Linked DNA regions of Caenorhabditis elegans. The protein of the gene in region 1 interacts with the protein of each later gene in a pairwise test. Each region holds a gene or a part of one and is shown in the gene's direction. Other genes may lie near its edges.

Region 1 (3,676 bases):
TCGAAATGAGTTTGTCCAACGTTTTTCCCGTCAATTTCTCCATAGGAATCGTCATAATTTTGGTTTCCTTGTAGGGTTTCAGCATCTCTTCAACGGCAACCACTGAGATTCCAACCATTCGATCAAAAAACTCTACAAGCTGCTGTTGCATCCTCTCATTGTTACTTATCAATTTATAAGCCGTTTGATCTTTGCCAGATAGCATTAATGGAAGAACAAGATGTTCGAAATGATGATCCCGTAGAAGATTGTACTGAATAGCCATATCTGCAGCAACGGAGAAGTCTTGTTTCTTGATGGCAGCATCTAGCAACTGTGTAATGTCCTCAGTGAATTTCTCTTTGGTGATATCGAAGATTTCACTGAGAAGCTGCTTTTGTCCAATTGTGCACACATCTAAGGCGTTTATTTGAATAGTTCCAGTCAGATATTTCTGTCTGAGCTCCGTCTCCTGTCCCGACTCTTTTAACCAAACTCCAAAATCCTCCAGATACCAAACCGCCAAACTTTGTCCCGATGTTTTTCCTCTATCCGGCATCGCTTTCATCATATCCACAGCCATTCCGTAGATGTTGACTCCTTTAAATGTATAGATTATGAATGAGGGTTTTTTAAAGTTTTTAATAATAAAAGAACTTTAAAATGTTTACCTGATCTATAGTCCTCGTTGAAAAATTCTCGATTTTTGGCTCGAACTTTTCTCTCCCGCTCAGACTCGGGTCCATTCATAATTGCTTTCAGAACTTCCCGGCGTGACTTCAACGGTTCGGCGTAGTCTGTTCGATATTTTGCCTTTTTCTCGGCTTTCGTTAGCTTTCTTTTGTACGGTTCTTCTTCCATTTTCGAAACGGACAAGCTTGATTCTGTAAAAAGTATAAATAAATATTTGTCGAAAAGTTAGTACAAAAGAAATTAATCAAAGAACAAGGAAAACGTGTTTCCCCACGAGAATTCGTATTACGGAGAGGAAAATCTAGAAACGGCCCAAAAACCGAAAGAACAACAGAAAAGCGTTGTGGATTATTCGATATCCAGCACTTTTTGCACAAATTGAGGCAAAAATAATGGAAAAAGAACCAAGAAATCAATGAACAAAATGGAAAATGAATTTTTAAAAAATTGTCGATGGTATTTAAGATGTGCAGGTTAGCGAATAGTACTGTATCACGGCGGCGATTCAAATGATCTACGAAGCAATTACACGAGGAAAATTAATGGAGATTATGGAGCAAATTGAGGGAATTAATTATAGTATAAAAGTTTCGAAAAGGAAAATTATTATTTATTATCCTATTTAGTTCGCCACACAATGGGAGATTTTAGATGCGTAAATAGTTGAGAGTAGAAAGTAAACTGACTGACTCAAAAAATATGTTTAAAATGTTTATTCGAGATTGAGAAAATAAATTAAATTTCACGAAACCTTTTAAATACATAAGTAAAAAAATGTTTTGTTTTTAAATTTGCCACTATCAAAACTGTCTAACTCTCTAACTCTTATCTTCTCTGCGTAACGATAGAGCGCGTTTACATCATTATTTTTTCATTAAATTTTTTCTATAAATATTTCTTCTTTCTACGACAAACGTTCTCCATTATTGTTTTTGCAGACTTTTTCCATCTAACATGGTTCAAGAAAGCATTATTTCATCTTTCCGTGGAAAACTTGAAAACGATCCAAGCAAATCAACGAGTCTAGCCACAGTGGAAACACTGCTCGAGGTTTTAGACCGGAGTCGCGGTAAGTTCCTGAATTTGAATATTTAGGCAATTAATTTTTTGCTTAATTACAGCCACCACCGTTGCCGAATTTCAAAATGAGCTAAATCAAGTAGTTGCTGCTCTCGAGAAAACGGACTACAGCTCAACATCAATTCGAAGTGCCGCTGATTTGTTCACCAGATTCACTTCTCTGGCTCCAGCTGCTCTTCTCGATCAAGAAGATTTTTCTCAAGTTCTTGATCTGTATCGCCAACGAGCACGCTCATTTATAAAGAATGTCAGAGGTTCTCGAGCCAAAATTTCCAAGTGCGCTCGTCTATTTTTCACTCATCATATGGTACGTTTTTTTTTCTATTTAAATAATTCCTATTTAATGTATTTTAATCTTTGTATTTTCTAGAATATTCTGACACACTCATACAGCAAAGTGGTTCTGGAAACTATTCTTGATGCTCACAAAAGTGGATATCACCTTCATGTCTGGGTCACCGAATCGCAACCGGATGCTTCAGGAAAACTAGTGTTTGAAGAATTGAAAAAGAATGGAGTTCCAACTACTTTAGTTCTAGATAGCTGTGTGGGGTGAGTGGAAATTATAAAAAACAATAAGAAAAACGTATATACATTTTTTATTTTTTAAGATATGTCATGGAAAGAATTCAAGCAGTTCTAGTTGGCGCTGAAGGAGTCATGGAAACCGGTGGAATCATCAATAAAATTGGAACTGTTAATGTTTGTATCATCGCAAAATCACGGCATGTTCCCGTCTATGTTTGCGCTGAAACTATCAAGTTTGTACGGGAGTTCCCACTCAACCAGGCCGATATTCCCCAAGAATTCAAAGTAATCAATTTATATCAAATAACTCAATCAGATCTTTCATTATTTCAGTATCGAACATCAGTAATTGAGAGAAACAACCTAGAATTGGAGCATCCCGATGTGGATTACACCGCACCCGAATTTCTGACACTGATCATTACTGATGTCGGCGCAATGAAGCCTGAAGCTGTTGGAGAAGAACTCATTAAAATGTATATCTGAGGGTAGAAATTTATTTGAACGTGTATTTAATTCAATCAAATTAAATTAATTTGTTCTTGTTTTGTTTTTTATAATTATGATTGGTTTTTTTCTTTTACAAAAATAAAAAATAACGTGGAACCCAAAACTATTCATTTCGAGTTTTTAAAAACGCTCATTCATCAAAAAGATGAGTGAAAAGCACTTTATTTTGCCATCTAGCATGCTAATGATAGTTTCGGCTGTCTTCGGAGGTATCGGAATCATCACTACAATCGTGTTCGTGATTCTGACAGTTCTTCATTCAAAAAGTGCGGTTTGTAAACCTGCAGGTTAGTTTTTGTTGCGAAATTGTGCAATTTTTACCCAGAAAGTACGGTTCCCGGTCTCGACGCTACAATTGTTAAATTCTGAAAGGTGTGTGCCTTTAAAGTGTACTGTACTTCGAATTTTTAGACTTTTATTAGTTTTTCGATATTTAAATATTTATTTATTTATCTGAAACTATGAAAAATCGATGCAAATTCCATAACAACGAAAATCTGAAATTACAGTACTCTTTAAAGGCGCACACCTCTTTGGATCTATCAAAAACTTTGCCGTATCGAGACCGGGTATCGTATTAGCATGACGAAAATCGCAAAATTATCTGGATAATATAGTAATGCTGAAGAATAAAAATTTGCACATTTTCAGGCAAAGAAGACATGAAAAAACTGAACGGTATCGAAGGAATGCAAACGATCAAAGAAGAATGTGGAGGATCAACTGAAACATCCTCGTCGAAACCGAAGAAAAAAGCCAAGAAAGAAGTCTGATTTTTTTTTTTTGAATAAATTTTAAATTTCTTCGTGAAGACCTTTTCTACGTTCTTTTAATTTATAAAATAGACAACACTTTTAACTTGATTTCCTACTCATTTCGTTAAATT
Region 2 (3,667 bases), 1.3 Mb from region 1:
TGATTCCAGGAAGATCGAGCAATTGAATATTGGCTCCGTTGTAAGAGATGACACCAGGAATGCACGTAAGAGTTGTGAATTCATATCCAGCAGCTTCTGAGTGAGTGGAAGTCATTGAGGACAATAGAGTCGATTTTCCGACGGAAGGAAATCCAACCATTGCAACTCTCGCATCTCCACTTTTCATTACATCGAATCCTTCTCCTTTGGCACCTCCTTTGCCTGTTGGTTCTAACAATTGTTGACGATATTTTGCCAACTTTGCTTTTAGAAGACCCAAATGGTATTCAGTGGCTTTATTCTTTTGGGTTCTTGAAATTTCATGTTCGATTTCTGCAATTTTCTCCAGAATACCCATCTGTAAAATATCAGCTTTTAAACAATTAATTTCAAACTTTCAGAGATAAACACTGGTTAAGAACCGTTTTCAGATAATAGAACTAACTTGAATTTTAGAAAAAATAAATTCATTTAAGGTGGTTCAGAAGAAAAACGTATAAAGCACTTATGTGGTAATGGTGATCACGATTGTAAAAGATCAAAGTGAACAAAAATTATACAACAATGGGGGTACAGTAAAAGCTACTGAGATCGTAAAGTTATAATTATGACGTAGTATGATACTTATTTTTTCCTCTTCTCGAACAAAGCTTCAAGTGTTGGCAATGGTGCATTTGGCATCTCAGCAGCCAAATCTGGCAACGATTCGAATGTTTTTTCAACCTGAAATTCAATTCAAGTCTGCAAAAACTGATTTTCTAGTTTTCAAACCTCTAACAAATCTGCCTTGATTCGATCTTCTCTACGCTTAACTTCTCTGCACAATTTCTCGTGATGTTCAATGCTCATTCTAACATTTTCTATAAGCATATTCAAGTTCGATTCGAGAGTTTCGCGTTCATTTGTCTCGTTTTTCAGCCTGAAAGCATAAGTTAATGTACAAAATCAATTCACAAAAGTTTCAATCAAACCTTTTAACATATTCCTCCAGCATCGGAAGAGCTTCTTCATTTTGGACCAACAGAGACTGTGCTTCTTGCGAACTTCGAACTGACTGCAACTTTTCTGGGCACGAAATATTATCCGGATATTTTGAAAGTTCTGTGCGAATTTCTCTTTCCGTGCTCGGCGGGTTTTGAAGGCGCTTCAAACTGAGCAAAACATCTTGTGCATTCTTTTTCGCTTCTTCAACGACGAACTGACTAGGTTGAGCGACCTTAAGCTCATTTTGGCATTCTTTTGGAATTTATTAAATTCACACACCTTTCCATGTTCCTTGTTCGCAACTGCGGGTGTTGGGAAGCTTCCAGATAGCTTAACTTGTTGATGAACTTCATGAAGCCGTTTGCATTGTGATGGAGTGAATATCTGACGATCTTTCCATACATTGATCAGTTTACCAATTGCATGTTCCACTTCTTTTGCATTTTTCAACTCGATTGCATGCCTGAAATTAATTTTGAGATTAGACGTTTGAAAATGCCAATACCTGAAAGAACTTTCTATTGCGGGAAAAAATTCGTCCTTGAATTGTGGGCAAGTCTTTCTCGCATTTTGGCTTACATCATTCGCCACATAAAGAAGATTTACAATTTTTGAGCCGTGTGTTTCTTTCTTTACTGTCTGAAATACAACACTAAAAAATGATACAATATGAATAAAATACCTTTAGCCAAACTCGAATGATCAATTCCCGATTGCTATGATTTTGCAAAAGCCAGGCAGAAGTCGTCTGAATTGAGGAAGGGTGGTTTGATAAATTTGTTAACTTCTGTCGCAAAGTTTGCTCTGTGAAATCTGCCATCTGAAATATCAATTATTGAAAAAAAGAAATCACAAAAATTTTAATCAGAAATGTAGATAAAGCGATGAATTGTCCTCAAAAATACCTTGGAAAAATGAATTTTCATTCAAAAAAGAGAGGAAAACGCGTTTCAATAAATTTCAGCAAAGTGTCGTATAGTTCGATGTGCGATGTGCATTTGAACGCGCAGAAAACTGCGGACTAAACATTGTAAATGACGATGTCTCTCATTGTCAGCATTTCCTGTTATGTTGAATTCTCAAATTTCGAGCATTTGTTTTCTGTATTAATTGAATTTTGTCATATTGAATATTTATATTGTTTCAACTAAATAAGTATACGCCTTTTTCAGATGACAAGCTTCACTGGAATCACGGCTGTCGCCAACGCCACCAATGAAATGGCAATGTTCAAGCAGGCAATGAAGGAAGTTGCAGCTCATCCAGAGTGGATGAGTTCCAGACAAATTGAGCGTCAACGCTGGAACCCGTATTCAATGGAGGGAGGATCAACCTGTGCCATTTCTGGGGAGAACTTTGCCATCGTGGCAAGTGATACTAGAATGACCCAAAACGACATCAACATTCTTACACGTGACGCAGAGAAGATTCAAATTTTGTAAGCCAGTATTTGTCTTTGTTTTAATAATAATTCTTAATTCAGGAATGATAACATCATCCTCACCACCTCTGGATTCTATGGAGATGTCCTCCAATTGAAGAAAGTTCTCCAATCTCGTCTCCACAAGTACCGCTTCGATTATCGCTCTGACATGTCTGTGGATCTTTGCGCAGAACTTCTCTCCCGCAACCTCTATTACCGTCGGTTCTTCCCATACTACACTGGAGCTATTCTTGCCGGAATTGACGAGCACGGAAAAGGGGCCGTGTTCAGTTACGACCCAATCGGATGTATCGAGCGTCTTGGATACTCAGCCAGTGGAGCCGCTGAACCAATGATCATTCCATTCTTGGATTGTCAAATCGGGCACGTTACGCTCTCTGAAGGATATGAGCGTCCGGAACTCACATTGGACAGAGCCATCTCATTGATGAAGGTATAATTGAATTTCGTAATTTTAACCTAATTCATTTATTTTTTCTAGGATTCGTTCCGTGGTGCTGCTGAGCGTGAAATCTCTACTGGAGACAAAATTCACTTGGTCATCGCTGAAGCCGGAAAGCCAGTCGTCGTAAAGTTCCTGCCACTTCGTGAGGATTAATTATTGCAGTATCTATCTCATTTTATTTTAACTTATTCGTATCCTCTTCCCCTCTGAAATTGTTTTACCATCCCGGTAATCTGATAAATATTCCTCCACTTATATGTTGTAGTCTACAACATGACTACATTTCGGCGTCCAACGCAAACTACAAAATAGAGAGAAAAATGCAGAGAGCGAAAACACACAGGGCAAGAACGCACGAGTGAGACACAAGATATAATGCAAAAGAAGGAGTGAGTCGGCGCTGCTTAGAACCGTCTGCGTTTCGAGTCTCTTACTTTGTGGTCTGCCCAGCTGTGTCATTGATTCATTCCTGCTTTGCAACTCGACAAGTTGGTATTTACTGAAAAATGTCAACTTATATTCAAGTTAACATCTACAATCAAACTTTGGAAGTTCTCAAAATGCGAGGACTCGATTTGCAATCTATTTTGGTAGGTCAAGCTTTTGGCAACATTTAGCTTCTAATTATATAAATATTCCCGAGATTAGAAAAACTTGAGTAATAATTATTTTGGCAATAAAAATAATATGACAGGTTATTCTTTATGTAATGGTCGATCAAAAATCATAAATACTGTATTTTATAAAATTGTAATTTTGGAATGATATTACTGTAGGAAACAACTCTAAATTAG

Evidence for each region.
Region 2: the proteins of eif-2Balpha (region 1) and pbs-6 interact in a two-hybrid assay, tested with the Caenorhabditis elegans proteins (2 studies listed by BioGRID).

What each region holds. Positions count from the first base shown.
Region 1 is NC_003281.10:9,541,516-9,545,191, forward strand, and holds eif-2Balpha (Translation initiation factor eIF2B subunit alpha), read left to right. Parts: upstream 1-1,603; 5' UTR 1,604-1,626; coding exon 1,627-1,741; intron 1,742-1,793; coding exon 1,794-2,059; intron 2,060-2,122; coding exon 2,123-2,304; intron 2,305-2,363; coding exon 2,364-2,565; intron 2,566-2,613; coding exon 2,614-2,766; 3' UTR 2,767-2,889; downstream 2,890-3,676. Other genes in the region: Exonuclease mut-7, read right to left, coding at 1-579, 651-840; ZK1098.9 (uncharacterized protein), read left to right, coding at 2,936-3,077, 3,442-3,563.
Region 2 is NC_003281.10:8,242,582-8,246,248, reverse strand, and holds pbs-6 (Proteasome subunit beta type-1), read left to right. Parts: upstream 1-2,156; coding exon 2,157-2,422; intron 2,423-2,467; coding exon 2,468-2,861; intron 2,862-2,909; coding exon 2,910-3,026; 3' UTR 3,027-3,127; downstream 3,128-3,667. Other genes in the region: putative GTP-binding protein C02F5.3, read right to left, coding at 1-358; cids-1 (CID domain-containing protein 1), read right to left, coding at 625-723, 772-919, 972-1,216, 1,264-1,447, 1,490-1,623, 1,667-1,804; Putative zinc finger protein C02F5.12, read left to right, coding at 3,380-3,463. UniProt on the Caenorhabditis elegans protein: Non-catalytic component of the proteasome, a multicatalytic proteinase complex which is characterized by its ability to cleave peptides with Arg, Phe, Tyr, Leu, and Glu adjacent to the leaving group at neutral or slightly basic pH.